3 linked regions of the Tamandua tetradactyla genome follow. The protein of the gene in region 1 interacts with the protein of each later gene in a biochemical or structural test. Links are inferred from orthologs where the notes say so. Each region holds a gene or a part of one and is shown on either strand. Other genes may lie near its edges. The genes, in order: POU2F1, POU2AF1 and RXRA.

What was found.
Region 2: the proteins of POU2F1 (region 1) and POU2AF1 are reported together in a solved structure, tested with the Homo sapiens proteins (2 studies listed by BioGRID, with this or other methods). The link is inferred for Tamandua tetradactyla from reciprocal best matches to the Homo sapiens genes POU2F1 and POU2AF1.
Region 3: the proteins of POU2F1 (region 1) and RXRA form a complex in vitro, tested with the Homo sapiens proteins (2 studies listed by BioGRID). The link is inferred for Tamandua tetradactyla from reciprocal best matches to the Homo sapiens genes POU2F1 and RXRA.

Annotation. Positions count from the first base shown.
Region 1 is NC_135330.1:20,605,742-20,615,771, forward strand, and holds the start of POU2F1 (POU domain, class 2, transcription factor 1), read left to right. Parts: upstream 1-5,619; 5' UTR 5,620-6,038; coding exon 6,039-6,099; intron 6,100-10,030. UniProt on the Homo sapiens protein: Transcription factor that binds to the octamer motif (5'-ATTTGCAT-3') and activates the promoters of the genes for some small nuclear RNAs (snRNA) and of genes such as those for histone H2B and immunoglobulins.
Region 2 is NC_135334.1:30,071,240-30,081,536, reverse strand, and holds the start of POU2AF1 (POU domain class 2-associating factor 1), read right to left. Parts: upstream 5,155-10,297; 5' UTR 5,021-5,154; coding exon 5,005-5,020; intron 1-5,004. UniProt on the Homo sapiens protein: Transcriptional coactivator that specifically associates with either POU2F1/OCT1 or POU2F2/OCT2. It boosts the POU2F1/OCT1 mediated promoter activity and to a lesser extent, that of POU2F2/OCT2. It recognizes the POU domains of POU2F1/OCT1 and POU2F2/OCT2.
Region 3 is NC_135328.1:13,492,820-13,503,458, forward strand, and holds the start of RXRA (retinoic acid receptor RXR-alpha), read left to right. Parts: upstream 1-6,098; 5' UTR 6,099-8,790; coding exon 8,791-8,926; exon of another isoform or gene 8,927-8,931; intron 8,932-10,639. UniProt on the Homo sapiens protein: Receptor for retinoic acid that acts as a transcription factor.

The sequences.
Region 1 (10,030 bases):
CTCTGCCTCTGTACCAGGCTCCAGCTTTCTATCTCTCAGTTCTTCAGCCTCTCAGTTCCTCAGCCTCTGCAACCAGGACTGTCTCATGCAGTGCAGAAGGCTCTCCCAGGTCAGCCGCACTCCTGAATCACCACCTCAGTCCCCCTTCTGTCCCTTCTCTAACTTTTCCATGGGGCAGGGCTAATCTCAAGCTACTCTATTCGGCTACTTTCCTGGAAGGCCCTAACTGGTTTTTGACAAGGGTTCCAAGTACACTCAATTGGGAAAGAATAATCTTTTCAACAAATATTGCTGGGAAAACTGGATATCCATATGCAAAAGATTGAAGGGGGACCCCTTTTTCACACCATATACATAAGTGAACTCAAAATATATCAAAGATCTAAATAAAAGAACCAGGATCATAAAAATCCTACAAAAAAAATGTAGGGAAACATCTTCAAGATTTTGTGTTAAGAAATGGTTTCTTAGACTTTACACCCAAAGCATAAGCAATAAAAGAAAAAATATATAAATGGGACCTCATCAAATTTAAAATTTTTGAACTTCAATGGACTTCATCAAGAAAGCAAAGTGACACCCTAAAGAATGGGAGAAAATATTTGGAAACACATATCTGACCAAAGTTCAATTTCGAGAATCTGTAAAGAAATCCTATAACACAACATTAAAAAAAGATAAAGAAGCCAATCAAAAAATGGTCAAAAGATTTGAACAGACATTTCTCCAAAAGAAGAGATAGAAATGGCCAAAAAGCATGTGAAAAAATGCTCAAAATCTTAGTTATTAGGATAATGCAAATCAAAACGCAGTGTGATACCACTTCTCATCCATTGGAGTGGCTAATGTTAAAGAGATATCACGTATTGGAGAGGATGTAGAGAAAGAGGAACACTCATTTCTTGTTGTGGGATATGTTAAGTGATAAGAAACCACTTTTGGTGTTTCTTTAGAAAGTTAAGTACAGAATTACTGAATGACCCCATAATCCCAATTCTAGGTATATACTCAAAAGATTTGAAAGCAGGGACTCAAACAGATATTTTCATACCAATGTTCCTAGTGGCATTTTTCACGATTGCCAAAAAATGGAAGCAAACCTAGTTTATAGCAACTGATGAATGGATAAGTAAAATGTGGTCCATACATGCAATGGAATATTATGTGGCCATGAAAGTGAATGAGGTTTGATACATGTGACAACATGGATTAATTTTGAAGATACCATGTTGAATAAAGTAAGCCAGACACAAAAGTACAAATATTATATGATCTCATGTATATGAAATGATTATTATAAGCAAATTCATAGATTAAGAAACTAGAATATAAGTTACCAGGGCCTGGATAAGGCCAGGGAATGAGGAGTTAAAGCTTAGTTCGTAGAGAACTTCTGTTTGGGGATGATGGAAAAGTTGTGATAATGGATAGTGCTGGTCGTGGCACATATTGTGAATGTAATTAACACCACTGAATTAAATATCTGAATGTGATTAAAAGGAGAATTTTTACATTATACATGTTACTAAAATAAACATAAAAAAAGAAAAAAACAGACTACGGATTAAACAAGTAGAACACGGGCTTGGAAAGTATAGTAGCAATTAGTGGAGTGTCATGTATTTGCTGACCCTGAAGTAGAGTGGGAAATGGGCTATGTACCCATCAGATAGTTCTTAAGTGTTATTGATAGGTGTTTTTGATAAGTATTGAATTGTAAATAAATTTCAGTATACACTTTCTGAGAATTACAAATATTCTACACTGTGTATTTTAAGTGTAGATACATAAGTTGCAGCAGTCAGCAAAAGTGAATTTGACATCCCTTAATTAACGTTAAGACATAGCAACAGGATGCATTCATTCCTTTAATAGGGTCCTCTCCATTTGCCTAAGGAGAAGGAGGACCATGGGAATATCTGACACAGGATCAAAATCTTTCTTGGAAAAGCTTCTGGGTACACTGTAAGACATGGACAAAAAAGGGGATCATAGTCTCACTATTTCATATCCAATGCTTATGATCATTTTATCTTGAAAACTTCTTAAAGATTACTGTTGCCAAGCTTGCTTTTCTTCAAGGAAGTATCTATAGTCTATCTACTTTAAGCAGTGAAAATCTTGAACTCCAATATAGGTCAAGCAGAGCCATTCTGGCTGAAGAGCAGGTGGAGGGGCTTGGTTTTCACTCTACCTTAAGATAGGCCCTGTTTAAAAAAAAAAAAAAATTGAACCTAAGGGCTTCATGGAACGTGATTTGAAGGCCTCTGCTGTAAGATAAATTAGTTTTTAAATCACTAAACAAATTGACTTGCTATATCGGAAAGTCAACTTTCATGAACATGTGAAATAGTGGAAGAGGTTTATTAAAAATGAGGATTTTAAATTTAGTTACCCAGGGCAATTAAAATACATTTCCCAGAGTCTGGATTCCTTAGTCTTTAATGCAACTATGTGGCAGCACCAATAGTTAGCTTTAGTGCAAGGAAGGCTGTGCCATGCTCAGTCTCAGTACCAGGCTTCTTTTTAGCCAGAGAAGATCTGATCTGCTCGTCCCTCCTAACATGTTCTGGTCTCTCAAGCGTGATGTCTGTTAAGAACAACATCACTTCATGGCCCAAGAATGCTTCAGGAATTTCAGTCCTCATATCTCTGTCCAAGCAGCAGGAAGGAAAATGGAAGAAGAACTGAACATACTCCATTTGAGAGCGCTACCAGAAATCCCACCCAAGAACTCCTTAGAACTGAGCCAAAATTTAGTCACATGACCATATCTAACAGTAAGGGATACTCGCATGTTGCACTTTAGAAGACACACTGAAGTATTACCACTGCTACTAATGGAAGGGATGGATTTTGAGTAGGTAACCAGCAGTTGCTGCCACTATGAGAAACACACCGTGCTATTTCATTTCTTCAAACCTGTCCATGTGCTATTCTTCATCCCCAGAATACTCTTCTCCACAAGGTCAAATTAACTATACCCAGAAGCCACTTACTGGAAGACTTCACTTCCTTCCCTCCAGTCCATCCAGGCAGAAATAACGAACACGCCTCTCTCTAGTACTTCTGTTCAGAGCATGTTTGTATATTTAATTTTATTTTGTAATGTATCATACGGTAAAATTAACTTTGTTTATGGATTTTAACACGTTTTAATCCATACATCCTCCATAATCAGGGTTCAGAACAATTCCATCACCCTCAAAACGTCCTACCTTCCTACTCCATATGGTCAGACCTTCTCCCACCACTACCCCGTCAACAACTGACATTTTCCATCACTACCGTTTTATCTTTTCAAGAATGTTATACAAACGGAATTATACAATATGCAAGCTCTTGTGACTGGCTTCTTTCTCTCAGCATAATGCCTTTGTGATTCATTGAAGTTATTGCTTGTATTGACAGCTCATTCGTTTGTATTGCTGAGTAATATTCCATGGTATGAATGTACCACCTCTGTTTATCCATTTATCTTTACCTTTAAGGCCTGTGTTTGAGTTCAGCTCTACTGTTTGTTTAATACTGGTGTGCCACTGAACAAGTTATTAACATCTCTATGCCTCAGTTTTTGCATGTTGGAAAATTTTGATAAAAAGATTATCTACTTCTCTGGGTATTGCGAGTATTGATAAAGGAATTGATATACGTAAAGTGCATATTATATAATAATTTTATTTAACTAGCCTGTGACTTTGCTGAGGTTAAAGAAGTATTTTCCTCATTTCCCGATCCTTAGCACCTAGTGAGGTTCGGAACAGAATGCAGATGTTCATCAATATTACTTGAATTAGTGACTTCATCAACTTTTAAAATAATCCCAACACTTATAATTGCATATCCATTATATTTAAATTCAATAAATATTTATGAGCACCTACTATGTACCAGGCATTGTACAAGGCAAACACAGATATTTTCATTAAGAGGAAAATGAAACATTGATACAGACTATTTTAAACTATTTTTCTCACAGAGCTATCCTTCCTTAAATAAAAATTCATTCCACGAAATTTTTCTGTTATGGAAATGAACTAGTAAAGAATGAATAGCATATTCACTAGTTTCAATGACTTTCTGAAAGCCATATTAATTTACTTTTCTACCCAAAGAGCAAAACAAAGATTAAATAGAGGAGAGGAATTTAAATAAAGGCATTTGAGTTCTTTTTCTTAGTGATGATTTCAAATTCATTGCCCACAGAGCAGGGACAAGTACTCAACTTTGTTTCAAACAAGGTTGGTGATTCTGAGACTAACCCTATAATAATGCTAGTGAATATAATTTAGGCCGTATTCCCAGATTAATTGTAACATGATTAAATTTTGCATTTCCTTAACTGCCTGTTAGTTGGCGTGCTTGAAATAATTAGATTAAGGGTGGTCCAATTATTTGGTTCAAATAGTCCAGCACACCCTAAGGCTTAATTACCATGAATAAATCAATCCCACCCCAATTCATTGGCTGTCGCTGACAATAACTTGAACTGTATTTGCACAGTGTGAGGAATTCATTGAGCAGGCTAGGACTCATAATTAAAATTTTAGCCGTTAAAGTAACTGCTGGCTCTCATTCAGAGATTAGTTTTCCTTCATTGTAGAACCTGCAATTCTACCCGATTTAAACTTTAGTCACCTCTCTCTCCTCAAGACATACTAAATAGGGATGAATTATCTTTTACTTGGCTTTCTTCGACGTATATATATATATAGTTGTTATTTAAAACAAAAATAAAACGCAGCTAGAAAATCCGAGGGCTTTAAGAATTCGAAAAATAATTCGACTCGGGTCTTGGTCCAAGGGCACTTTTAACACTAAAGATAAATCTTAGCAACAATTTGACTCATAAAAAAGATATTTACAACAGAAAACCTTTCTCCACCGTCATATTTACTCTGAAAAAAACACAGCAAAGCAAAATCCATGATTAAGCTACTGCTGATTTCGTTGTTTTTACTAAGTCATCAGTTTTCAGCTTACTGCTAGGTTTAAAAGATGTTTCTAAAATCGAAAGGAAAGGGAGAAAAACTCTGCGCAGACTAGGAGGTCTGCTATTTGTTTCGATCCCGTACGCGGCGTTTGCGGGGCTTGAAAGCCAAAGGGAAGGGCGGAAATTGGCGACTTAATAAGAGGCCCGCTACAGAGCAAGGCTGCCCGGTGTTAGAAACAAATAGAGCAGAAGAGATTTGAGGCTAATTAAAAAAGACCACAGGACTCTAACCTTCGAGTTACTCGAGACCGGGTCTCCAGCGTTCGCAGAGTTAGGGGCGGGGATTATTTCGGATTCAAATTTAAAGCGGGCCGCCGGCGCGAGGCTCAACAGGTGCTTCCAGCCCGGCTCAGCGGCCCCAGCCCCCACGGGCGTTTCCGCCCTACCTGTCCACAGGGCCGGAAATTACCGAGCCCGAAAGCAGCCCTTTCATTGCTGTCAGTGTTTCAACAGCACGGAAAGCCTTAAAAATTGCACCGGGAAAAGGGACACAGGCGCTGGTCCGTCCACGAACCCTCCATGCATTTCCCTACTCTCGGCCGCTGTGCCCCCTCTGCCCGTCTTTCGCATGCCATTGGCAACTGTTGGAAGTCGGAGCAAAGCCGACAGACGGACAGGGCGGGAGGAGAGAGAAGTATAAGGTAACCCTTCGACCTCCACAGCTCACAGTCGGGTTACCCTTAAGCGAGGCACGGAGACGTAGCGCATGCGCTGACCGCATTTCAGGCGCGTGGAGAAAGTTGCGCATGCGCGAGGTCGAGACAGAAGATGAAGCAGCGGGGCTACGGGCAAATTGAAGGCGCTTCAACTACCGGAGAGACACCGCGGCCCGGAGGCGCGTGCGCAGAACGCAAAGGGCAGGGGTCCTTCCAAGGGGGCGGGCGGTGAGGAGGGCCGGCCTCGCGCGCCCCCTGGCGTGCACCCAGGAGAGCAAGGAGCGGGAGGGGGCGGAGAAGAGGGAGGAGGCGAAGAGGGCGGGAGGGGGGAGGGGAGCTGGAGCGAGGGAGGGCTTATCGACCGGGCGATTTTGGTTAAAATATTCAAAATGGCGGACGGAGGAGCAGCGAGTCAAGATGAGAGTTCAGCCGCGGCGGCAGCAGCAGCAGGTAATCATTACAGCATTTTACATATTCATATTCATACTCAACCCAGGCTCCCGCTGCCCCCCCCCGCGACTTAGCATAATTTATTAGTACTCAGGATTATTATAATTAACGGCGAGGAGATGGGGGGCCGGGGAGCACGGAGCCCCCGCCGGGCGCCGAGCGGAGGGGGAAAGAGGCTCGGAGAGGCCAGGCGGAGGAGAGGGGGAAGACAAGGGGCAAAGGGGGCTGCGATCTACCGCCCTCCTCCTGCCCCCGGCCCACCCTGCCGCAGGCTCGCCCGCCCGCGGGCACCGGCCCTCCTCCTCCGCCGCCGCCGCTGCCGCCGCCGCCGCCTTCTCGCCGCGGTCCCCGAACCCGAACGGGGCCGCGGGGCCGGGGCAGAGGGAGGACAATAAAGACACTTTACATATTCATAGCTGCTGGGCCGGCGGGGCGCGGCGGGGCGCGGGCGGGCGGGCGACCGGGCCACCGGGGCCGGGCGGGCGCGGGGTGGGGGGGCGTGGAGAGGGATGGAGGTGGCGGCGAGCACAATGCCGAGCAGGCGGCGGGGCCGGAGCGGACCCCGGCAGCCGAACAGCAGCACGCGTGCCCCCCACCCCCGGCGGGGGGTGGTTCTCGGCCCTCAGCGTGGGGGGACGGCCTGGAGGGCGGCCGTGGGTGCGCCCGGGGAGAACGCTTCGCCCGCACTTTGCCTCTGTGTCCGGGTCGGAGCGAGGCTGAGCCCGGGGGTCACGGCCCCGGGCACTTCGGCCGCGCCCCACTCGCCCCCCATGTGGCGGCCTGACTCGAGCCAGGCCTGCGCTGTAGGTGGGGGGGAGGGGTCGTGGGCGCTGCGAGGTCGCCTTGGGTCGGCGGGGGTGGGGAGTCCGCGTAGGGGTCCGCTTCGTCCCCACGGATTTGGACTGGGTTGGAATGGGACGCTCCGGGAAAGTTCCCTTGGAGTGGGGATGTTCTCCAGGGCCGCTCTGTGTGCCCGGGACCATGGGTCAGCAGCAGCCGTCGGTCCGAAAAAAGCCCTTTGCCTCCTGTCCGCCGTGGTTTCGCGGGGGACTTGGGTTGGAGGTGACTGGCGTTGACTGATCCAGATCTTTTCCCCTGCCCCTCAGCATGGGGGTGGGGAGACGGGGACCCTGGGGGGCTTCTTGTCCCGCGGCCCAGAAACGTCCAGAGGCCACCTGAGAACTCGCTTATAAAGGGTTGCCCTCCTGCTCCTGCCCCAGGCTGGCCTGACCAGTCGATAATCTTGACTTCCCCTGTCCTGGTGAGTCGGTGGGTAGGGACGGGGGTCCTCCTCCCTGCTTCTGTGCTGGTGTTTTCTTGCTGGATGCTGGGTCCTCTCTACTCTCTGCTTAGCCGAACCTCTCTCATTTGAATAATGTCTAATTCGGGGAGGTTTATATTATTGAAATGGCCGCCTGGCTTTCCCCGCCTCTCATGTTTAGTAATTCAGACCTTTAATAACAGCCACTCACAGCCCAACGCCGTGTTTATATTTTACATTCGCCCCATGTGCTTTTGTGGTTCGATATGATTCTTTTTTTTTTTTTTTTTCTTCCTTGGCAGTCCACGGGGCTCTGAGATCAAACCCAGGCTGTGCTGCGAAAAGAAGGGGAAGTCTAGGCCTGGCCTCCTCTAGCGGTTGCCTAGGCCTCACGTTTTCTGCCGCTTGATTTATTTACTAATAACTAAAATGACTCTCCCCCACCAACTGCCACACACATACCCCACCTCCGCGGGCAAAACAAACCCTCTTGGGGCCTTACCAGCATTAAAACAGCTCCTAGCTAAGCATCAACTCTGCTGGTTTGTTTTCTCTTAAAAAAGACTTTCTTACGGTTTGCAGTAATATTAGGCCTAAAGAAAAAAAACTCTTATTTCTCATTTTCAGGAGCTTATGAAATCTATTTTGGTTTAGTACAAATAAGTCACTTTGTTTGGGAGATAGTCCCACCCTCCTGACCCCTAAGTTAAACACTTTCAGGCTTTGCAAAGGTCTGCAGTATTTGTAAAACCAATACTGTCTTTTCTAGGATTCATGGAATAGCTAACTATTATAGAAGTTCCACTTAAACAGCACTTTACTAATTTCTCAGTGCTGTGTTCCCTTTCCAGCCTCTTCACTCTTCATTCCCATTTGAGATGGGGGCTGATACTAATTTCCTACTATGATTGTCATTGACTTGCTTATTTTAATTGTATCACTACTGAAAACAAAAATGGGATTCTGTTTTCTTTGAGTTTTGTATCATGGTTAAATTTGTGAAAATAGAATAATAAACACAGGCGTTGGGCCTACCTTTATCTTGGAATGTATTTCCCTCCCAGCATACTGGCGCCTTTTCTTTAAGTTGTCAGAATTGATTTTATGTTTTAGCTAGATTTAGGATGGTTGGTCTGTGAAAGACAGATTAACTTCTACTGTTTAGAGAAAGTAATAATCTTGATTTTTGGCCTTTACCTTGGTTAAGGTTTCATTTTTGTCTTGCATAGTTTTAAGTGTGTTTTTCTGAAAAATAGTATTGCTTCTCATTGGTAATTGTTTACCTCTGCTGGTGAAGGGAAGTACCGGACCATTGTTTGACACTAATAATGTTAAGTCTTTGAAATTCTGTTAAGGTACTTTATGGTCCTTTGAGAGCTACATATTTTGTGGGACTTCAGCTTATTTATTTTGTGGGGTCTTCAGCTTAATTTTTAACAAAATTATAGATTTGATCCACTAAAAATAAGCCAATTTCAAATAGCAGTTCTCACCATTTTTCGTCTTTCATCCCCAGTAGGAAGACCCAGAATACAGCAGGAAAAAAAAATCTGTGGCTTCCATGAGAATGTTCAGGTGAATGACTGCTTCAGAGACCTGAAGCATGAGGTCAGATGGACCAAAAGAAGTAATATGATTTCATGCCTTAAATAGCATGTGTGTTTGCACCAGATTCCCAAGATGTGGTCAAGCTGATGATGTCATTGGACAGAGGACAAGGTGCAGTTAATTTGATTTATGGTCCTGAGGTGAAGTGTAGCAGTGAAACCTTCTCACAGGGAAACCATTTATCTCAGGACAATTTCCTTTATAGCTTCAATTTAACCACTATGGAGGCTGTAGATATTTTATCCAAGATGATAAAATGTACAGTGCACTTTACAAACAAAATTTCACTGTTATAATTTTTGTGATACAGAAAAGAGTGGGGATTGTTAACAGGCCTTTTATTTTGGCTGGCTTTCTGTGTCATTGTAGAAGTGCATTTTCCCATATTCACAGATGGAGACTTGGGTTATAAATAAGTATAACGGTAGAAGTAATCCTTACGCATGCTTATTTTAGATGGGTTCTTTGTGAACCCCAAACTCCTATAGGAAACTGAATTTCTTAACTTAATCTGAACATGGCCCTAGCTAAAGAAGAAATTGTTTGCCTTAGAACCTGTTTCAATGAATAAAGTAGATTCAAAGAGGAGGAGGGCTGTATATTCTTTTAGGTGGAATTTATGATGTTTAAAATAAGATCGATTTTGTATATAGGAAGGTACGAGCTTTGAAAACTTTTTTTTTTTTAATAATTCAAAATTTTTCTTCATTTATCTCAAATTAGTCTGGACAAGTTAGTGTGTTTTGTTTTTGATTGACTAGTGATTTCCACTTTGTCCCATTGTCAGGTAATGATTCTACTTAGAATGTTTAACATATTGGTAGATTATCTTTTTAGGGATTTTTCATCATAGTATTAGCTAGTCTATCTTAAAGTGATGATTAAAATATCCTGGGAATATGATAGAATTGTGGTGCTTTATTCCTGATCCTAACTTCTGCGCCAAGCTTGGTAAAGTGTTTTTTAGTCCTCATAAGCTTACAACCTGCTTGTCTTCCTTTTGTACAGTATATCCCAGAAATATCCAGAAAATCCATTGTCACTCCCTTCTTAATTTGCCTC
Region 2 (10,297 bases), on another chromosome or scaffold:
ATTTTTTTTTCCTTTTTTAACATGGACAGGCACCGGGAATCGAACCCGGGTCCTCTGGCATCACAGACAAGCATTCCTGCCTGCTGAGCCACCGTGGCCCAGAAGCCATTGATTTTAACCTCTAGGTTAAAATCACATTAGATTCACCTGGGAAGCATTTAAAAATCCCAGTGCCAAAGACAGGTAAATGAGAATATCTGTTGGCATCAAAATTTCTTAAATCTTTCCAGGGTATTCAAATATATAGCCAAAGTTGAAAAGCATTGCAGTAAGCAGAAGCAAGAATTCTTTCTATTAAATTAAGGACTTGTGGTTGAAAAGCACATATTTACTTTTGCATAATCACTCATGAAAACTCAGAAATTAGAGTTGGAGAAGAACTTCAGTCAAGTTCAGTCTCTGCCCTTAGCCAGGAAAAGGCATGTCCCATTTTACAGCTGTAACATCGGAGGCCCAGAGTGATTAGGTGACTTGCCTAAGGTCCCACAGCTAAATAGCCATAGATGGGCAAGTAGAATCCATGTTCTCTGAGAGAACCACACTTTGTCCACAGGCTTATGCAGCCAGGACAAGAGGATTTCAAAGAAGGCCTCCCTGCTCTAGGCAGGCCCATTCCTGTTAGGAAGTTGTTCTAAAACAATGAGAAAACTGGAGTGTTGCTAAATATTTCATCAAGGTGAACATTTGGTTGATGATCTAATCGATCAGACAATTTTGGTTTGGTTGGCTCAAAGTGAGAAATCAGCAGGCATCTTCATTTAGTGGGAAAATAAACTGCTCTAGAAAGAAGTCAGAGGAAAAAAAAGAACCTGTTACATTTATTCTGTGATGGGGAATTTAAGCACGAAAATTTACAGGACTTCTTAGTGAATTAAATGTCCAGATATTTAGCTAACAAGTGTAGGAAATTTTGATTCTTTCTTGTACTGTACAACAATACAGCTTTGCAAGTTTAAATTGAAAGAAACTTTCAAAACCTCTGACTCAGTAACTTTTGGGGCCTGGAGGGGCACAATGCTGGCATTTTTCTTTAGTTTAGGGAAAAGGAGCTAAAGAATCCTCCTTGAGAACCATTTGGTCATTGCCAATTAAATCCTTGTGTTCTTGGGAGATAAGTGCGATTTATTTCACCTCCTTCTGTGCCTTTCAATTTCTGTCTCCCTTTTGGAGCCTATTTATGCTTATCTGCAGGAACCACTACATCAGTGGATAAACTTATAAGAAGTAAAGATTCATCTTAGGCTATAGGCTAAGGCTTTCCACAGACCTAAACTATTTCTTGTTGTAAGTATGCCTAACTTTATGCAGAATACAGGATTCCAAAAATTATATGTATGTCACATTTCTCCTTACCTAAATGCAACTATAACTATCCGAAAAAAGTTGACTATTTAGTGGAATCCTAAAGTAAATCCTCAGAGCATAGTTCTATGTTAATGCTAATGAGACTTTCGAGACCCAAATTTATTTGTTTGGTGAACCTCTGTTTTGCTCAAGTTATCTGAAAGCAAAGGCACAGTTATGTCACAATAATTTGAAAATACCTCATTCCTGAACCTAAGATGCTAGATGGGTGCTATAGCAAGGACACACCAAGGCCAAGTCTTCGAGACACCATGACAATCAGCCAGTCCAAAGAAAATCAGTCAAACCTTCCTTGCATTTTCCATTAAAACTTTCCCTAAAGCAAACACCAATGATAAATGGCAAGTTTTCAATTTGTTTATTTTCTAACAAGTGGCATCAAGTTTATCACACCCAGTTTCATCACTGTTAAGGATGAAGTCAATTAAATCAATTTTCAGCATTGCGCAAATCATTTAATCAATCGATCGCAAGCTTTGCCCACCACTGGAGTTGGCATTATGCCACCCCAGGAGATTGAGTAACCTCAGGAAACGAACGCCTAAAGTATTACCCAAATCACTTTAGACCAGAGGTCGGCAAACTTTTTCCATAGAGAACCAGAAAGTAAATATCTTAATCTTTGCAGGCCGCATGGTCTCTGTTTTACCTACTCAATTCTGCCATTGTAGCAAAGCAGCTGTAGACTCTATGTAAAGGAGAGCTCTGACTGTATTCCACTGTATTTACAAAAACAGGCAGCAGGCCAGAGTTTGCAGACTCACTTCAGGCCCTTGAGAAAGCTGTTTGCATCATCCTATTGTCCAGTATATTTTTGTTGTGCCTTTATCCCTATTCCAATGAAAATGTGGCAAAGGGAGCAGATCATAATAAGCCTGCTCATTTAAGATGTGCCCACAGGAGGTTACAATGGGAAGGTGCTCGTTCACCATTATCACTACTTACCAAGAAACGTGGTCACACTCACATTCTCTACTTCAGTTCTGATAAAAGCCTTGGAAGACAGGCACTAAAGGCCCATTTCTCAGATTTTTAAGAATGTGGGAAGGTTAATGATAAACTGGCAGTGCCAGCTGTCAAATCCAGACCTGTCTCACTCTGACTCTTATTCTGTCTCTACTGCACTGTCACCTGTGGGCTTTAAAGGGGGCTTCTTGTTGGCAGGGAGGTTAGTTCTTCACAGCTACCTGCAGCCTGCAGGACAATGCAGAACCGAGGTGGGAGAGGACCTGCAGCTAGAGCCACTTCTTTGTCCAATCGGCCGATCAGGCAAATCTTGAATCCATAGTTGGGGCCTAAGATTTCCCCTTCTGGGTGCCAGCAGTTCTGAGCTGTCATGCTAATCTCTGATCTTAACCAAAGCCCATGTTCACATCTACTCTACAAACAGAGGTCATGGGCAAGGTGGGGAGGAGACAACAGATTTACAGAGTGAATGTTTTCTTAACCCTTTCCAGAACCCCAAGGTACAGTCATTTCAGCTCATGCCTCGAGGGTGTTTTCTGAAAAAAGAAAGTGCCTTTTCAGCACTCCTGGTGTCTGATTTCAAACCCTGCCCTTCCATCGGGTGATTCTAAGTGGGCTGCCGAGGCTGCCCTGCTCTTACTGGTTTTCCCACAGTGTTTAGTCATCCAGGTAACCTTGATGCCATATGCTTGGGTCAGGTTGAAGGCAAAGGGGCCAGTGCCCAAGGGCCTTCCCTGATTTTCTTTTAGTCTCCAAAGAACAATCAAAGAAAATATTGATTTTTTTCATTCATCTGAAAATGTGGGTATGTTCCTTCCAGTTATGCCATTGGTGAGTTTGGGATTGAGTCTCCCTGATGGATGGAATGTTACCTGGCCTGCCTGACCTCCAGGGTGAGATCAGGAAACACACCCTCCAACCTCCATTTGAAAAGCGCTGCTAATGTCTGAGGAGGAATTGAGGAAGAAAACAAGTACTGCATGTCCTCAAGGGGAGAACACGGCATCTCACGAACTCAAGGAAGCTACCCGTATCTCAGATACTAAAGCAGAACTAGAGCAATCAATACCACTTCAGCAACAGCTTAGCTTGCCAAGGGCAACTGTGGAATGGCTACTATTTCTACCCCCATTTTACATATGAGAAACCTAAAGAGTTAAAAAAAAAAAAAAAAAAAAAAAGAAAGAAAAAAAAGGAAAGTAACTTGTTCAGAGTAAGAAAGGAGCTGAAATAGAATTTGCTCCAGGGACTCATGCAAAACCAAACAACTCAGCTTTGAGAGTAAGGGTATTGGATTCTCAGCAGCTCCCAGGAATCCAAAGACAGTAATTCCCACATGCCCTGCTCCACACAGCACTCCCTCGGGGCTGGCTGGCATTGCCTCAGCAGGGTAGGTTCTAGTCCCATCATCCTTCCTTCTGGTAACAGTACATGCCACCCAGAGCAGAATATCCCAAACTATCTGGAAGGATTCCACAACTCTCAAATCCAAATTATTTTCTTTTTATTAAAAAAAAAAAAAGGCATCTTGGCAATATCAAACAATAAGGAGGCTTTACAGTCTGAGAAATTTTGAAATCACACCTCTGTGATTAATAAGCACAAGTCTAGAGAATTTACGCAAGAAATAAAAGAAACAATGAGTTGGTGATCGCATGATTCTAAGTCACATTAATCAATGAGGTTATTCTTTGGGGACTTAAAGGAATCTAATGGAATATCTTTTTGCAAGATAAGTAAATGCTCCCTAACATCTTTCTTTTTGTAAATCTAGATTCTCTTATTACGTTCACTTGAGTTAAGAAATACCTAAAGTGATTAAAAGAAATTTTAAAAGAAAGAGAGGATAATTGTTTGGTTTGCTTCTTCCTTGAGGAAGTCCGCCACCAAGGCTGGTGAAGGTGAGTGATGGTGAGATGGCTCTGTCACCTCCCAGAAGGAATGTTGTAGGCACTCTTGGTGTGATTTCAATTATTAATAGCACGGGGCTCACTAGATCTCTGTTCCATCCCCCATGGTGAAAATTAAAGTTCACAACTGGGCCACACAAATCCATAAAAAATTAAGGTCAACGATAAAACCACTGCCCCCTTGCACCGAACGGGAACAAGACTGACAAGAGGCAAGAGAGTGAGGTGAGTGAAGACAGGCTTCCCCACTGCCCCCCACTTATCCCTAGGGGTAAATAATGCCTTTGGCAGAAGGCTAAGCAACTCAGCTAGAAAGAGGCCCACAGAATTTTAAAAAAAACAGGCTAAAGAGTACCTGCTTATAAAAATAAAGTGTAAATAACTTCGTGCCTCTCCGCCGCCCCCAGCCCCAAACCAATATCACATTTTGCTTTTGTTCTGTGAATCATAAACTGCCTTTTCTTCACCACAGTGAATCATGCACAGAAGCGGAGGGACGATGAGCTGTCCCACCTTGGAACACTAGTTCGTTCCCCTCCAGCCTGGAAAATTAGCATCACCCTGACAGGTTGGTTTCTCCACCGGGCTCCATCTTACCCGCCTCCTCCCTCCCTGCTTCCTGGCTTGGAACTCACAACCCACGTCGCCCCCCCCCCCCCCCCCCCAATCACCACCACCATCTCTTCGCTCCCAGGCCAGCAGGTGAACCCAGACCCTCATCCGAGCTTACTTGGCTCTGAGCGACCGTGGCCAAACCACTTACATTTTTGCCAGAGCATGCTCTGTGACAGGATGTTGCCTCTTCTCTTTGAAGCAGACAGCTTGGCTTCTTTAATGTGAGACCTGGGTGTGCTTTCCTCCAGTGTAGCCACTGCTTGCTCAGAGGATGTTTCCTCGGCTTTTTAAAAGCCTGAGTTCCCGCTGCGCGGGGGCACAGCGTCATCACATCCTCCCACCGCAGGCACGGGTGCACTTTTTCTTCAGCAGCGCGGCCTGTTGCCCCACTGCGCGCCCCCTCGGGGGCCCGCTGGCTGCAGACCATGCCATGCGTGGACTGAGCAACAACTCGGCACTGGAGGCAGTGGACAGCCAGACGTGGCCAGGGTCTGATGTGACATGTGCATGAGTGTGACATTGGGTAGGAGCGTGCACTGCAGGTGTGTGTGTCAAGTCTTGTACCCCCTAGCACCAATGATGAGCCCAAAGATCTCTGAAAATCCCTGAGCTTTCCATGGTGCCTGCACAGGCAAACACACCACTAGGGTGCCAGCAAGGGCTCGGCTGGCCATGGGCACCCGCTCAACGGGAAATGCGATCCCAAGGGTCACTGGTTCTCAACACAGGAGGAAACACCTGTCATCTCTTCAAGCTTCGCTGAACAACCTCCTCATTCTTTTAATATTGCTTTTCTGTTTATCACATTTTGAAACACAGTAACTACCACCACTGCCGCCCCCAGCCACTACCAAAATGGCAAGGCTTGATCGTGCTTAAACATAGGGGACACTGGTTCTGGTGACCGATATGCATACAGAGAAAGAGGCTGACTCAGTCAAGGAAGAGAGGAGGAGACAGAAGCCCATGCTCTCTTACAGGAGCTGGTCACTCAGGTGGGACTTCCAGGCGCCATGGGGGCAGGGCCTCTCTCCTAGGGCCCACCAGTCTTCAGACTTTCTCAAAGGAAATGTGAGAAATTTAGAGCATGTGGGGTATAAGGCCACAGGGCTCCTTCCCAGTTTGGAAACTTCTGCCAGTGTCTTATCTGGAGTTCACAAACTCAGGTCCTAGTTCCCAGTAAGTTTGGGGACAAGACTACCGGGCCCCCCAGGGATTCTCTGTCCACCGCACTGCATCAAGCGATCACTGGTACCTTTTTGGTGCAACACTTTCTGACCCACCAACCCTCCTGGCCCAGAGCCCGTCTTGTGTCAGTTCTCGGGGCGCTTTGTTCATTCGCTCGCTGTGGGTTGTTGCTTGGCTGTAGGTTCCTCAAGCAGGTTTCATCTTGGCTTCTCCAGTGCCTCATCCAGGACCTGAACCGTAATTGGTCCTCAGTACAAGTTCATGCAACAACGTCACGAACTACTGTCTCTAAGGGGTTATTGGTTTCAGGGCAGATCCTGTGGGGAGATGTTGTCCACCTAAATGACCCAGTCAGAAGACTGAGAGGACTGCCCCTGCCTGAGTTATGAGGCCTCACCCCAAAGCCTTCATCCTCAACATGTGAAGGGTCCGGGGCAGCTGGCAGCACCAGGGACTTACGAGTGGCAGTGTCGCAAGGCCGTGGGCCACACTCAGGAGTTTCCACTGGGACTGGTGGCCAATCCACTAGGCCCAGCTCAGTCCCAGGAGGCCTGGGGTCCCACCGAGGCTGTGCCACATGCGGGCCAGGCCCCTTAAGCCAGCCATGTAACCCCGAGTCTCGGTTTCCTTGTTTATCAAACAAAGAAGCAGTTCTCCGAATGTCTCAGCGGGTTCTTAGGCAGGTGTGTGATCTTGCTAGCACCTCTCTCACGTTGTCTTGTCCTGTGGTTATCTCTCTTATTCTCTTCGAGTTTGATGAAATTAAGACCGTTTTCTTATTCAAATTTATTTCTCCCCACAGGCTGAGCATAATCATTTACATGTAATAATAATAATAACTAGCTTTTAAAATGCTCTCTATGCACCAAGACCAGTGTTACATTTACATACTTTATCGAATTTAGTCACCCCATCAGCTCTGTGAGGAAATTTCTATCATCATCTGTTTTTTCCAGAGAAGCAAACACATGCTTACAACATTTAATTTGCCCAGGGTTGCAGGGCCATTAGCTGAAAGCCTGGTTTTAGACCCAAGTTCGTCTGACTAGAGACTAATCTCTAAATAGTTACACTAGTAGATATTCATTAAATCGAAATCAATGAAGGCCAAATGTCAGCCTTATAAATTAGCAGATACATAGGATCGTTGATATTAGAACCTGGAGCAAATAAATACAAACTAATATCTCCTGGGAGGAATCCCTGCCCACTGGAAAGAAGGCATCGATAGAAGAAACCCAGAAGTGCTCCCAGAAATCAGATCTCTTGCAGAGGCAGAGAAAATCAAGGTTCAGAAGGCAAGTCCACCATCATGGCCAACGTTAAACCTGGTACCTCTGACAGCCTCTGAACTCAGGAAGGATATTTCGACTCAGTGCTTCCAGCAGAGACCCTGGATAGCAGGGATTTTGAAACCAAGACTTGATCAAAATGGCAAATCTTTGCGGGACTGACATTTTTAGTGACTCGAAGTCAAAACACAAACTATATAGCATGGTTCAAAAGAGACATGGTGGACATTTTTAAGCCATACCTCAAGACGTACAGGAAGAGAAAAATATTCCAGTAACCCCATCCAGATGTCTCCAAATACAGGTATGCCCCCACTTTAGAAAAACATGATATACCAAAATCACAACTCCTAAAATTAGTCATTAAAGAGCACTGATCTATATTGCAAAAAGACTCACCTTTTCACAAGGATGCACTGCAGACTTCATTTCTTCTTTCATTCAATAAATATTTGAGTGTTCATTATGCACTATTGCCTCTGCTAGGCCTTCTATTTTCTTTTCATTTTAACTTTCTTCATTCTCCTCAGTCCATGGCCCTTTATCCTTATTGGCCCATGAAATGCTCCTCTTTTATTGATTTATTTATTCATTCATTCATTCACTCACTCATTCCTTGATTCATTCACTGTCCTTGCCATTTTCCATGTCTATTCTTTTTCCTGTCCTGCCTCACCCCCATCAGATACTCACCATCAAAGATATTGCTTTCATCTGGTTGATATAGATCTCTTTGTTTTTAGACATTTGTACACATCTTGAAATGTATATTGTTTTACATGCATGTATTTTTAACTCATGTAAATGGTGTTTAATTCATGTAACTTGAATATAGAGCTTGTACTGGTTCTTATTTTTTAATTTAAAACTATGCTTCAAATTCATTCACATGGCTATACTCACACAATCTGTTATTTCTATAGGCTGCAAAGTGTTCCATGGTGTACAAGCACTGCATTTTACTTAATCAGATTGCTTCCAAACATCCTCTCTCCACAAAGCAGCAAGGAACATTCCAATATGCATCCCCTTACAGAGGTATGTGAAATTTTCCTTGGGAAATTACCGGGTCAAAGAAGATGCACATATTTAATTTGCTTATCACAACCAGAATGCTCTCCAGGACCCCATCAGCAGTTCATGAGATTTCACAAGTTACCATTTTACCACTAGGCATTGTCCAGCTTTCTAATTTTTACCAATAAAATAGATGTAAAAGATAGTTCATTGTTGTTTTCATTTATATTACTAATACTGATAAATTTGAGCATCTCTTCATATCCTTGTTAAACTTTTGGGTCTCCTTTTCTGTAAAATGCCTGTTCATATCATTTGCCAATTTCTCTTTTGGGGTTGCTGCCTTTTCCTTGTTGATTAGCAGGAGCTCTTTGTATATTCTAGATGTATAATTCTAGATATTGTCAGTTTTACTCATTATAAATATCTTCTCCTAATCTGTCATCTGTTAACTTTATTCATGGTATCCTTTCTTGAATACAAATATTTAATTTTAAAGTTTGTGTTTGGGGATTTTGTTTAAGTTTTTTTCCTCCATCTCAAGATAATAAGAACAGTCTCCTACGTTTTCTTCTATTAATTTTGGAATTTTACCTTTCCCACTTCCACTGGAGATTCCCTTTGGTGAAGTTCTAAGTATCCAGTATTATTTTTCTCCATATAGTGGGCTAATTTTCCCCATATCATCCCTTCAACAAACCTTCTTTTCCCCCATTGATTTGTAGGGCTGCATCTATATATACATGTGCCTATCCCCAAACTCTGCTTTATTTTATTGGTCTCATTAATTTTCACTATTATTTACTGTAGTACATCTTAAAATTTTAGAATAACTTTATCAAGTTCTTTTAAAAAATCCAACTGGAACTTTGGGATTTCAATGAGTTTATAGAGTTAGCAAGAATCAATATTCATAATATTAATATGGTTCAGCTAAGCATGGGATAGCTCTCCATCTAATCAGATCACATTCCATGTTCATTATGATTAGACTTTCAATTTTTTCTCCATGGGAATCTATTGCTTTCTTGGATAAATTAATTCCTAATTACTTTATAGTCTCTGTTGGCATTGTGAACGTCTCTTACTTTCTATTATATTTTCTAGCCAGTTATTGATTCCACAGGGAAAAAAATTAATATTTTTGAGTTGACCTTATTTCTAGCATGCTTGCTAAACTCTCATATTTATTCCCATAGTTTGTTGATTATGATGGTCTTTCTAGGTAAATGATCATCTCTTCTGACGATAATGATTGCTTTATCTTTTCCCTTCCAATCCTACATCTCTAATTTCTTTACTTTCCTTTTAGTTCTGGCCACTGCTGTGCTTAACAGCAATGGTGATAGTGATTATCCTTGTTTTGTCCTTGTCTTGAAGATAGAATGAAAACAAATTCCAAGAATTACCAAAAAAAAAAAAATGATGAAAGATCTTACATTGGAAAGGGTTCATGGACAAACAAGAGAGACAAGGAAACACTGACATGTGGACACATTATAGTGAAATTCAAAAACAACTAAGACAGAGGAAATTCTAAAAGTTTACCGAGAGGAAGAATATATTAACAACTAAGGGACAAGAATCCCATTGACATCACACTTATCAACAGAAATATTGGATGCAAGAAGATAATGAAGAAATTTTTTAAAGTAATGAAGAAAAAGACTGTTGACCCTAAAATTGCAAATCCAACCAAGCTATCATTCAATATCATAGCATAACAAAAACATCCTCAGACATACAAGTCTCATGTTAAAATTGCTTTTGGAGGAAGCTTTCAAATAAGAACAGTAAACCAGGAGGTGCTGCAAGAAATATGGAACAAAAGGTGATCAAGTAGCTGGGTAAAATAATTACAGGAGTTTTCTTAAAACTGGGAGAAAAGAAAAAATATAGACAGAACAACCCATAATTAAATATCAACATGATTGCACAAGTCCT
Region 3 (10,639 bases), on another chromosome or scaffold:
TGGGCTCCCCTGGAAGGAGAGGTGGTAAGCTTGGCAGGGTCGGGGGGATGTCACACACTTCTATAGTGGTGGGTAAAGGAGCTCTACTCAGGGGGTCCCAGCTCCCTTTTCCCTGCCCTCCCAACCCCAGCAACCCCCAAGAAACCTCCAGGCCCCCGAGCGGGGCAGGTGGGCAGCTTGACAGCGTATCTTGATGGAAGGAACAGCCAGGATGGAAGCAAAACAACCCAGCAAAACAAAAATCCACCCCCAAAGCCAGCCCAGCCCACACCCTGGGGCCTTCTTATCTGCATCTCCAGGGCCCTGTTGTAATCCTGGGTCCTGGGCTTTTGGTGAAACGCTGATGGGCAGATATGTGCCTGGGCCCAGCTGTCTGGGGCAGTCGAACAGGTTTGGTTCCTACTGGGTGGAGCAGGCTTTCCCTCTTCCCAGGAGGAGAAACCCGGGCAGGGTTCATGGCAGGGAGGGCCCCCATACTGCCTGCCACTCCCCTGTGGATGAGACTAAGGAGCAGCTTGTAGCTGCTCTGACTAGGGAGAAGTGACAGCAGGGAGGAACTAGAGGAGTTAGAGGACCTTCCAAGAGCTGGGCACCATGGGGTGTGGGTGCACAGACTGACTTGGATGCAGGAGGCCCTGGGCTGCAGTGAGGTGTGGCCCCAGGTGGGCTTTCTCAAACAGGTCCTTACTGCCTGCGCACCTACCCGCTGGCTGGCTCCTCTGGGCCATCCTGGAGTCTCAGCACCTCTCCCAGGTCAGAGTAGAGCCGCTGAATTCCGCCTGGCCCTGCTGGGCATCCTGTCCAGGGGGTGGGCATGATCCTGAGCTGTGCCCAAGGCTAGGCAGACTGTCACCAGCCCCTTTCAGGCAGGAGGCATTGAGGGCACAGGTTGTAGTGGGGGTGAGAAGTTAAGAAATGGGCAGCTGCAGTCCAGGGCCAAAGGGCTAGAGTGGAGCTGGAGGGTAGGCTTCCTGGAAGAGGCAGCAGCCTGTGGGTTCTAGATAAGGGAACAGAAGGAGGAAAAGCATGTGCAAAGGCCCAGAGGTGAGAGAGAATGGGATGCCTCTGGAGAAGTTCTGGGGTTCAGCATGGGGCATGGGAGTCGTGAACTGAAACTGGTCTGGTCTGTGATGGCCTGGGCAGCAGGTTCTGTATGGTGTCTGCATGTGACCTTGTGGTTGATGGGGAGCATGGATGTGTTGTGAGCAGGTGTTGATTGGGCTGGTTTCAAGGAACCCGCCAGCCTTTGGTCTGGATGCTGCCATAGTTGACCAGTGCTGCTCCCTACCCACTGCTTTCCCTCTCCCAGTCTCCCCCTCCCCGGTTGTCAGCTGGATGGGGCAGGGCTGATAGGCAGATCCTCTGGGCAGGCCTGGGCCAGGGCTGGGGCCTAGTGGGGCTGAGCAGCTGTCTTAGGCATGTTTGCAGGTAGGAGGTGGGCCGTGCATGTGGATGGGTGGGGACTGCAGGCAGACAACATTCTCTGTGAAGGGGGAAAGATGTTGGGGTCCCAGAATTCCCCCAGAGTCCAGTGGAAAGGAAGAGATGGGCAACTCGGAAAGGACAAGTTGGAAACAACTGAGAGACTCATACCCCGGGGGGGTCTTCCATCGAACCTTGAACTCCCCTCCCCGTTCCCACTTCTTGGCACACTCTTTGGTAGAGGCCCCCCTCAGTTCAGGGAGCGGTTACTGAGAACCTCCTGGGCAGGTGCCAGGTGGAATGGGCGCAGGAGAAGTCTGAGGCAAGGCCCCAGAGACCCAGACCTGCAGCTGAGAAGTTGGGGACCAGTGCTGCAGTGTGGACAGCTGAGGCTGGCAGAACACCTGGAAGCAGCTTTGACTGTGATGTGTAAAGAGAGGGAGCCAAGGTGGTCCTGCTGGGGGTGAGGGTTGGGGATCCCCTGCCTGCAACCAGGGGCACTTTGGAGTAGAATTCAAAAGCCACTCATCTCACAGTACAGCTGGGGAAACTGAGGCCCAGAGCAGCACCTGCATTTGAGCAGGGGCTCCTTCTCCTGACTGTCTGTCTGATGGACCCACTATGGGAGGCCTGGCCAAGACGGCTGGGTGTCTCGGAGGGGGCTGCCCTGGGCTCCCAGGTGCCGGAGCTCAGTGCTGTTCCCTGGCAATCTTGAGCTAATTAATTACTGCATGAGCAGGCACTGTGTGTCAGGGGTTGAGGGGGCTAGGAGCAGGGGTGGGCAGCCCTGCATCCCAGGGAGGTGGCTGACCCCAAGTGGGAGGGCTGGATTGCATTCTCTGGAACTTGTCTGAGAAAGAGCCCCTCTCCCAGGTTCTACTCTAAATCCCCAAAGCCCAGGAATCATCTGGGGCTGGGAGCCAGGAGAGCAAGGGGTCTGGAGCCAGGCATGGGTGAGGTGGCAGCAGGTATCCCTTCCCCAATGCCAGGCTACCTGCCCCCTGAACCCCGCCCAGCGTGGTCTGACCCTACCTGTCCTGAAGTCTCCAGGAGCACACTGCCTGGCCCCTGGGCCCTCCTGCTGGGTTCCCCCTGGGGCCTGTTGGAAAAGAAGGCTTGGCTCTGGAAGGGGGTTTGGGATGTGATCTGGGTGGGCTGGGGAGGGACTCCCTCAACTGGGGAGGGGGTTCAGATCCAGGCAAGCACGGTGTACAGGATAATTAGCAAGTGCTCATGCTGGCTGCGGGCTGGGGTTTTCTGTGTATTGGATGGTCTCTGCTTGCCGAGAGGTGCCCGTTTTACCGTAGAGGAGGCCAACTGAGCCCCAGCGATAACTCTGCCCTGTGCCGGGCCGGGGTCTCAGAGCTGGGCCCATGTGCGTCACTTTGGAGGGCCGGCCGCCTGAGCCCCTGTGGGCTGCAGATGTTGCTTGTGGTTGGAGAGGGAGCAGCTGTCCCTTCCCTGCAGCCACCCCCATGTGTCACGGGCCTGGCTTTCCCCGTGGCCAGAGCCTTGCGGGCTCCTCCGCCCAGTGGTGTTGGCAGATGTCCTGCAGTTGGACCCCAGCTTATCGTGCCCAGCTCTGAGGTCCTGGGTGAGCCCTGTTTGCACCCAGGGCCTCAGTTTACCTTTCTGAAGGTGTGGCATCATGGGTCGGGGTGGGTCCACGCTGGTGGCACTGGCTCTATGTCCAGTGCCCTAGAGGTGAGTGCCAGCACTGCAGTGATTCGCCTCCTCCCTGGGTGGGATTGAGTGGGCCATGGGCCCTTCCCTAGGTGGAGGATAAATCGGGGATAGGGACTGCTAAGAGAGGACTGTTGGCCGGAATGTCCATGTCTTGGGGTCCCTGGGCATGTGGGCTGCCCCGGGCAGGGCTGAGTCCTTGGGAGCCTCCACCTGGGCTGGGAGGGGGTGGTCCTGGGCCCAATGCTGTGCCTGTGGCTGGAGGGAGGGCACCCAAGCCTGAGGGTGGCAGGGCCATGGGGGAGGGGGGCTGATGTAGAGTGGGGATCCCCGTCTGGTCCCAGACCCATCCAGTGGCTGTCAGCACCCTGGGGTGAGCCCCATTTCCCCCCCCCGCAACCCAGGGTCTGGGAGCCCTTCTCTGTGGTCAGGGACTCAGGGGGTTTCCTGAGCCACCTGCGTCCAGGGGTGCCCTCATGCCACAGGCAGCAGGGTAGCACTTGCAGCCCACCGCAGGGGTGCTAGGCAGGCTTTTCTGTGAGCGCTGAGGACGTTGGGTTGGCACCTGTGTGCTGTCTGAGGGCAGGGGCGCCCGACGTTTTGTGTCTCTCGCCGTTTTAGCCATTTGGAAAACATAAGAGGCTTCTCTGAGCACTTTACAGCTAGAAAAAGAAAAACAACCCTCGAGGAGAATGGCTCCTACCTCAAGGGAGCAGGGGGTTTTGTTGGAGCCACAGATCACCAACACTCAGTTTCTTTCTGTTCCCTAAATCTGAAGGTGAATTAAGGCATCTCACTTGAACTGTTGAGGTCAAAATTGCTCTGACTGTGAAGTTCAGGCGTTAAAGGAGATGGTCCAGAAGCGATGGGAAGGCAAGGTGTGTGTTCACAGTTGGGGCTTTTGGGTGGTGGTCAGGTGGACGCAGGGCTGCTGCCACTTCAGGGAGCACTGCCTCTTCAGGGAGCACTGCCTCTTCAGGGAGCACTACCTCTGTGCCCACATGCTGGGATGGACCAGCCGACAGGCCTGAGGAGGGGTATAGGGTCAGCACCTCAAAAGGTGGTAACGGAAATAGCCCTTTCCTGGGCACCCAGCTGTGCAGGTGGCCTGGCAACCATTCCTGGGCATGGCTCGGACAGGTCAGGTCAGGGTTTTGGTGGGACCCCCTCCCCCAATGCCTGGAGCCCCTCTGGACTCTCAGGTCTGCTGCCTGGTCCTGGCACCTGAAGTGGAAAGTGCTGTAGCTGTGGACAGAGGTAGGTCAGCTCAGGCTGGGTTGTGCCAGGCAGAGGGTGGCAGCCATGGCACAGTGGGAGTTTAGGGAAGACAATTTGAGGGGCTAGCTTTGTCCAACCCTGCCCCATGCTGGCATGCAGCTGCCAGGGAACACCTGGGCCTCAACGTTGGGTTGTGGGAGGAAGGAGTGTGGGGTGAGATGTCCAAGGCTGGGTGGGCCTCCCCGGCCCTGGCTTGGGGTCCCAGCCTTTGAGCATCCTCCATCAGGACCCTGAATCTCTGCCTCTTCTTCCACCCACCTTCCCTGATACATTTGAGGACACTGCCCCAGCCAGGAAGGGGCAGGCCTCCCGCGTCTGGGGGCATCTCCCAAGGTAGAGAATGGAATCTTCGGTGGCGAACGTGGGCAGCGCTGGGGACTGAGAAGGTGGACTGACCAGGGGCCTCCAGAGAGCACCTGATGCGGTCCCACCCCCATAGTCTGCTGCGCCTGGGCCGAATGCTCTCCAGGTCCCCTCTGTACCCTCTGTCGGAGCCCAGGCCAGGGAGACATTTGGGGTCTGGGTGTGGGGTGTAGGGACAGAGCAGACCCCTGCCTTGGCTGGTGGAGTTGGCAGACCCACCTGCTTGCAGGACACATCCTGGGGGAAGGCCGAGTGTTCTTGCGGCCTTGGCTGGCCCATGGGCCGTGGCTGGGCCGGCCGAGACCCCCTTCCCCTCGGTGGCCCCCCAGTGCACTGTGCATGGGAGCCAGTGATCAGGTCGGGTGTGTGGACTGGGGCCACCGGGCCACCCTCAGCCATCATGAGAAGGGCCCATTTGAGACCAATTTGCTGTCCCTTGCAGGCCGTAGAGCCCTCACCAGGGGACGCTGTGAGGGGCTGGGCTGGGCCAGGCAGGTCAAGGGGTGTCATTAGACACTCCCTGCAGGGGCGAGGAGACGTATCAGCTGGAAGAAATACCCGACATCCCCCTCTCCACTCTCATGCCCCTTCCCCCCTCTATCCTGGGTTGAACCTGACCTAGGGCGTCCTGGCTGGAGAGGGCTGCCTGGGGAAGTGAGCTCTAGGAGATTCTGCTTTGCCAGAACCTTCGTGGACCATGGGGGTGTCCATGGCCCATCTGCACCCCACCCCTTTTGGGGGATACTGTTGACATTGTTAGGCATGGCTCATGCCAGGCCCAGCTGTGGGAGATGCTCCCAGGACCCCCTTGGGAGCCCCCTGGGTGGCAGGGCCTTGGGGTGGTGTGCTTGCAGCTGTGCTGGCGCCATGGAGGAGAGGCTGGGCCTGGGAGGCGTCTCTGCACAGCCACTGGCTGGGTGGGTGGCCTCCCCGGGGGGTGTGCTCATGGCCTCCAGGGGGAAGGGCTCATTTTCCTCTCTGCCGTGGCCCCCCCTCTTGGGTCCAGGTCCACTGGGCCTTGGCATGGGCTCAGGAATTCCAGGCTATCTCAGCCCCTTCCAGCTTCCTCAGCAGGGCGCAGAGCTGCTTCTGTCCTCGCGGCCCCATCTGGAAAGCGTTAACACCGTGTCAGCGGCAGAGGGCCGGCAGTGGCGGGCTCCTGGGGGAGCGGAAGCCGCCTCCTCCCCAGCACACCCCCCGCAGCCACTCCTGCCCTCGGCTCCATCCCCAGTGAGTTTGTGGAGGCCAGGCCTGTGGCCAGCAGGGTGGGGCTTGAGGCTGGGGAGGGGCGGGTAGGCTGGGGGGAGCTGGTAGGGTTGAACGTGCTGGGGGAAGGGTGAGAGGTCTGGGGAAGGGGCAGACCCTGGTGGCGGAGGGGGAGGGGCACACCCCTCCCCCATGGGGCTTCTAGGGGCTTGTCCTTGAGGGGCCTTTGAAGCCTGCCACCTTCTAGCTACAGCCGGCCCACGCATATTCCTGGTGCCCACATGTCCCTCCAGTGGGAGACACGAATGGGGGACCCACATCCACTCTCTGGCTCCCCTCCCTTACCTGCCTCAGCTCCTGGCCCCATCCAGCCCATTCTGGGCAGCCAGAGCTGGTTCCCAGGCCTTTGTGCTGACCCTGCAGGAACGGCCTCATTCGGCTGATGACACTTGTTAGTGTGGCCTTCTGGACATTCCAGCCCTGGGACGTCCCTGCCTACCCCACGTGACCGGCCATCAGACAAACACTGCTGGGCTCATGGTGAAGCTGTGCCTTCCTCTCTGGTGCCACCTGCTCGGCCGGGACACCAGGCTGCAGATAGGCCTTGGGCTCCTGTGGCCGCTGGGAACCTGGCTGCAGTAGGCGCGGGAGCAGGGGACAGGCGTCCCCAACTGAAGCCTAGCGGTCCTGGGGCTGCAGCACGTACCTTTAGGCTGTTTTTCCCTCCATCTCCCCCAAGCTGGTGAGGGACCTGCAGCCCCATCATCACTTCATTGTCACTCTAAAGGGCCCGTGGTGCTCATTCCCACGAAAGGGCACTCGGTAAACAGCTTGGGGGTCTCTGAGCCCCATCCCCTTGGAGTAGCTTTCCCTGCTGGCAGAGTCCACCCTGTGCCATCAGGGCTCTGCTGGTGCCTGGCTGAGCTGTGGGAGAACTTAGCCAGGTGCCCAGGGAAAGGTACTGGTCTAATGGAAGAAGGGCAGCCAGGCTGCAGTGAGAATATCCTTCTTGCTGTCCCCACTTTGGGGACCTGTGGGGCTCAGGTGGCAGAGGGCTCCGAGGAGCTGGCTGTCCTGCTTTCACTAAGAAGCCGGTGGTGTCGTCCTGCATTCGACAGGTACACATGGGTGTGTGAACATTTTCATGCCTGCACACATGTGTGTGAGACAGTCAGGCAGAAGTAAAGACAGACAGACAAATGGAGACAGAGTTCCAGAGCCCTGGAGCAGCCCCTGGGCCTGCTGGCTGCCTCTGTGCTGTGGTCAAGACTGCGCCTTCCTGCCTGACCAGGTGGCTGGGGACAGCGAGGTGACCCAGGCCTTGCCGCCTCGTTCCTGTCCCACGTGCTGACATGGAGGCGTGGGCTCCTTGCAGAACTTCCCATGCAGGACTCTCACGCCTGGTTCATGGCTGCTGCTCACCCTGGCTCCCAGGCTCCCTTGGCTGGTAGGCCCAGCCCTGGTATTGCAGATGGACTCTGGGTGCTGCCTTTGTACCTGTGAGGAACCTGCCCTCGCCTGTGCCCATCCTCAAGGACGGGGGTCCATCCCCGAGCCGTGGGCAGCAGGGAGCTGGGAGGTGCCATACCAGGGCCAGCCTCACCCTTCCCATGGCAGCTGGCAGGGGAGGTGGCAGTGGCCCTTTCCCAGGAGCTGCTGCATGTCAAAACCGGTCCCTGACGCAGCCCATGGTGTTGAAATAAGAGCTCGCAGGTTTCCCAACATCCTGTCTTCCGGTCACAGGACCGGGTGTCAGGCGGCCCTCGTGGGGTCCAGGCACCCACTTCCCTCCCTGGGACTCCGTTTCCTCATCGGGTGAGTGAGAGGAGGTCACCCCTCCCTCACGGCTGCTGAGCACACAGGCGGAGGGCATGACGTTTGGCAAGGTGACATCACTCCGGGTCCATGTCATCTTATAACGTCCCCATTTGACAGTGGGGGAGACTGAGGCTCAGTTGCTTGCCTTGGAGTGGAGGGGCGGGATTTGAACGCAGGTGTTTCTGTCCTCTTTTTCTCCTCCCACGAGGAAGAGAAGAGGGGAAGAGGTGGGTGGGGTGTCTGGCTGACATGGGAAGGGCAGTGGCCCTGTGCCCAGCACCCTGCCCTGTCTGAGGGCCAGCCTGGGGTCTGACCTTGGCTGCCCTGAACTGGACCTATAGGCCCTTTGCTGGGCTGGCCACCCTTCTTGAGGTGGGACCTGGGGAGCCTCGGGCAGCCCCAGTGAGCATCTCTGTCCCTTTGGCTGCAGTGGGCCTGGCCTGTGAGTGGGCAGGGAGAGTGGCTGCTGTGGGGGTGAAGTACAGTTGTGGTCCCTTGTTCCAGATAGTGGCTCTAGGGGATACACTGGGGCCCTCCCCTAACCTGGGTGGGTGTTCTTGGGTCTGCTGTTCAGGGGAGGAGATGGAGGTGCAGAGAGACTGAGTGACCAGCCTGGGGACACACGGCTGACAGGCAGGGTCTACTGCTGGACAGTGCAGTCCTACTCTCTGAATTCTGTCTCGGACATGGGAAGAGAGGACACAGTGGAGCGTTATGCACTCAGGGTGGATTCTGTCTGCTGTTCTGTGCTCTGTGACCTAAGCCTGTCTCCCAGCCTCTCTGATCCCTTAGGGGCCTTTGTGGGCTGGGCATGGAGATGGTTGACAGTTCTGAAATCCTGCTCTGTCGGCAAAGGGGCAGTGCGGGAGGCTGGGGAGGGGCGCAGGAGCCGACCCGACCCCAGCCCGATGCCCTGCCAGGCGGGGCCTGGGATTCTACGAACCCTTGTGGTCAGACCTCACCCAGCTGTGGCGTCTGCCTGTCGCCTGTCAGCAGGGGAGGGGCCCCGGGCCGTCTCTTATGGAGGAGGAAGTAGGTGCCCAGAGAGGGCAAGGGGCTTGGCCTGGGCCGCACAGCAAGGCGCCGCAGAGCTGGGGGCAGCACAGAGAGGTGGTCGCCGGGAGACCTGGCCTGGGGAGGTGGATGTGGCGCTCTGGTAAGGTACAGACTGCCGGGGGCAGGGTGGGAGGAGACGTGGGTTCTAGCCTGTGGTCTGTGGCAAGTTTAGCCTGGGCTAGGATGGCAGTCGTGGTAAGGATGGTGCTGACCAGGGTAGCTCTACTTGATTGAGCATGTGCTGTGCCAAGAACCGTGGCCTGTGCCGCCTGCACAGGGGCATCTGTGAGCCCCTCTCCCAAAAGAGGTGGCATCCCTTGGTCTTCATGCTTCTCAGTCAGGAGGTGGCAATGGGCTGGGGCCCTGGGCCACAGCTGGACAACTGCCCGCGTGTTGAAGGTGTCTGCAGGCCTCTTCCCATGTCTTGCCAGACACTGGAGCCCATGGTGTTATACCCGGAGGGAGGTATATGGTGCCTCCTCCAGGAAGCCCTCCTCCATGGTGCCCCTGGAGAGCGCCTCCTCCTCCTGCCCTACTGGGGGGTGGGCCCCTTGCGTTCTTAGAAGAGACCGCTGCCGACCCGCGACTGGGTGTGCCCTGGGCAGGGCCCAACCTGCAGACTGCCTGTTCCCGGTCCAGGGGGCGTGGGGGGAGCAGGCGTCCTCTTACCCAGCGTCTCTGTGCCGGCCGTGTGTGCAGTGTGGCCATCTGTGGTCTCGGTCGATCCTCACAGCCTCTGGGAGCTGTGAGCACTGTCTCCTTTCAGAGTGAGGATGCCGCGAGCCCACGAGGCTGAGTCAGCCGCTCCGGCCCCGCCCAGCCCCGAGCTGGGCAGCCGGAACTGGCACCCGCCTGCCCGGTGGCCGAGGAGGGCTGGTGCCATGGCCACTTGTCCACTTGTCCAAAGAGCCGGCTGGCCCTTTGCAGTGATTGAGGGCCGCTCACTCAGGGTGGGCCGGCCAAGCACCAGGGCTCTGGGGCCCCCAGTTCCAAGAGGAGCATCTGGGGGGGTCTCTTCCTCCTTCCTTCGTGGCCCCTCCCTCATCTCAGTATGTTGAGTTCCAAGGAAGTGTAGCTGTTTCCGTGGACACTAAGAATATGGTCCGGAGCTTCTTGAGCTGCCGGGGGCAATGAGCTTAGGGCAGGGAAGTGGGTACCCGGGTTGCACGGCAAGGCCGCAGCTGTGAGGCATTTGAATCAGTCTTCTGCCTCACAGCCACTTCCTTCTTCTGCAGAAGAGGAAATAAAGGCTCAGAGAGGCCGTTACACCTGCTCAAGGCTACACAGCATGTCAGTGCCTGGGTGACTACTTGGGCCCTGTTACAAACCGGTGCTCGCTCAGCTGCTTCCTAAGGGTGTGTCAGTCCTGCAGCCTTGTCCTGGCCCATTCCTGGCGTTCCTCCCCCTACCCCATCCTCTCTTCACTAGGTCTTTATTTGGCACCTGCTATGTGCTAGGCTCTGGACTGAACACCGGGGATGTCACTATGAGCCTGCCCTCAGGAGCCTTTGGCTAGGTAGGAAGAGGCCCCTACCTGGCTGGGAGGATCAAGGAAGGCTTCTTGGAGGAGGTGTTGTCTAAATGGAGCCTGGAGGACTGAGTTGGAATGAGCGGCCAGGAGGAGGGTGGGGGAGTTGGAGGCCAAAGGAAGGGCATGTCCAAGGCTAGAGGCGAGAGTGCCTAGTGTGTTCTTGGAAATGACCCAGTTCCCAAGGCAGAGGCAGAGAGTGGGCAGGGCCGGGGCACCACAGAGGGGTGTGAGTGGAGGAGGGACCGTGCTTCAGGAATAGACCAGGGTGGGTGGTGGCTGCTG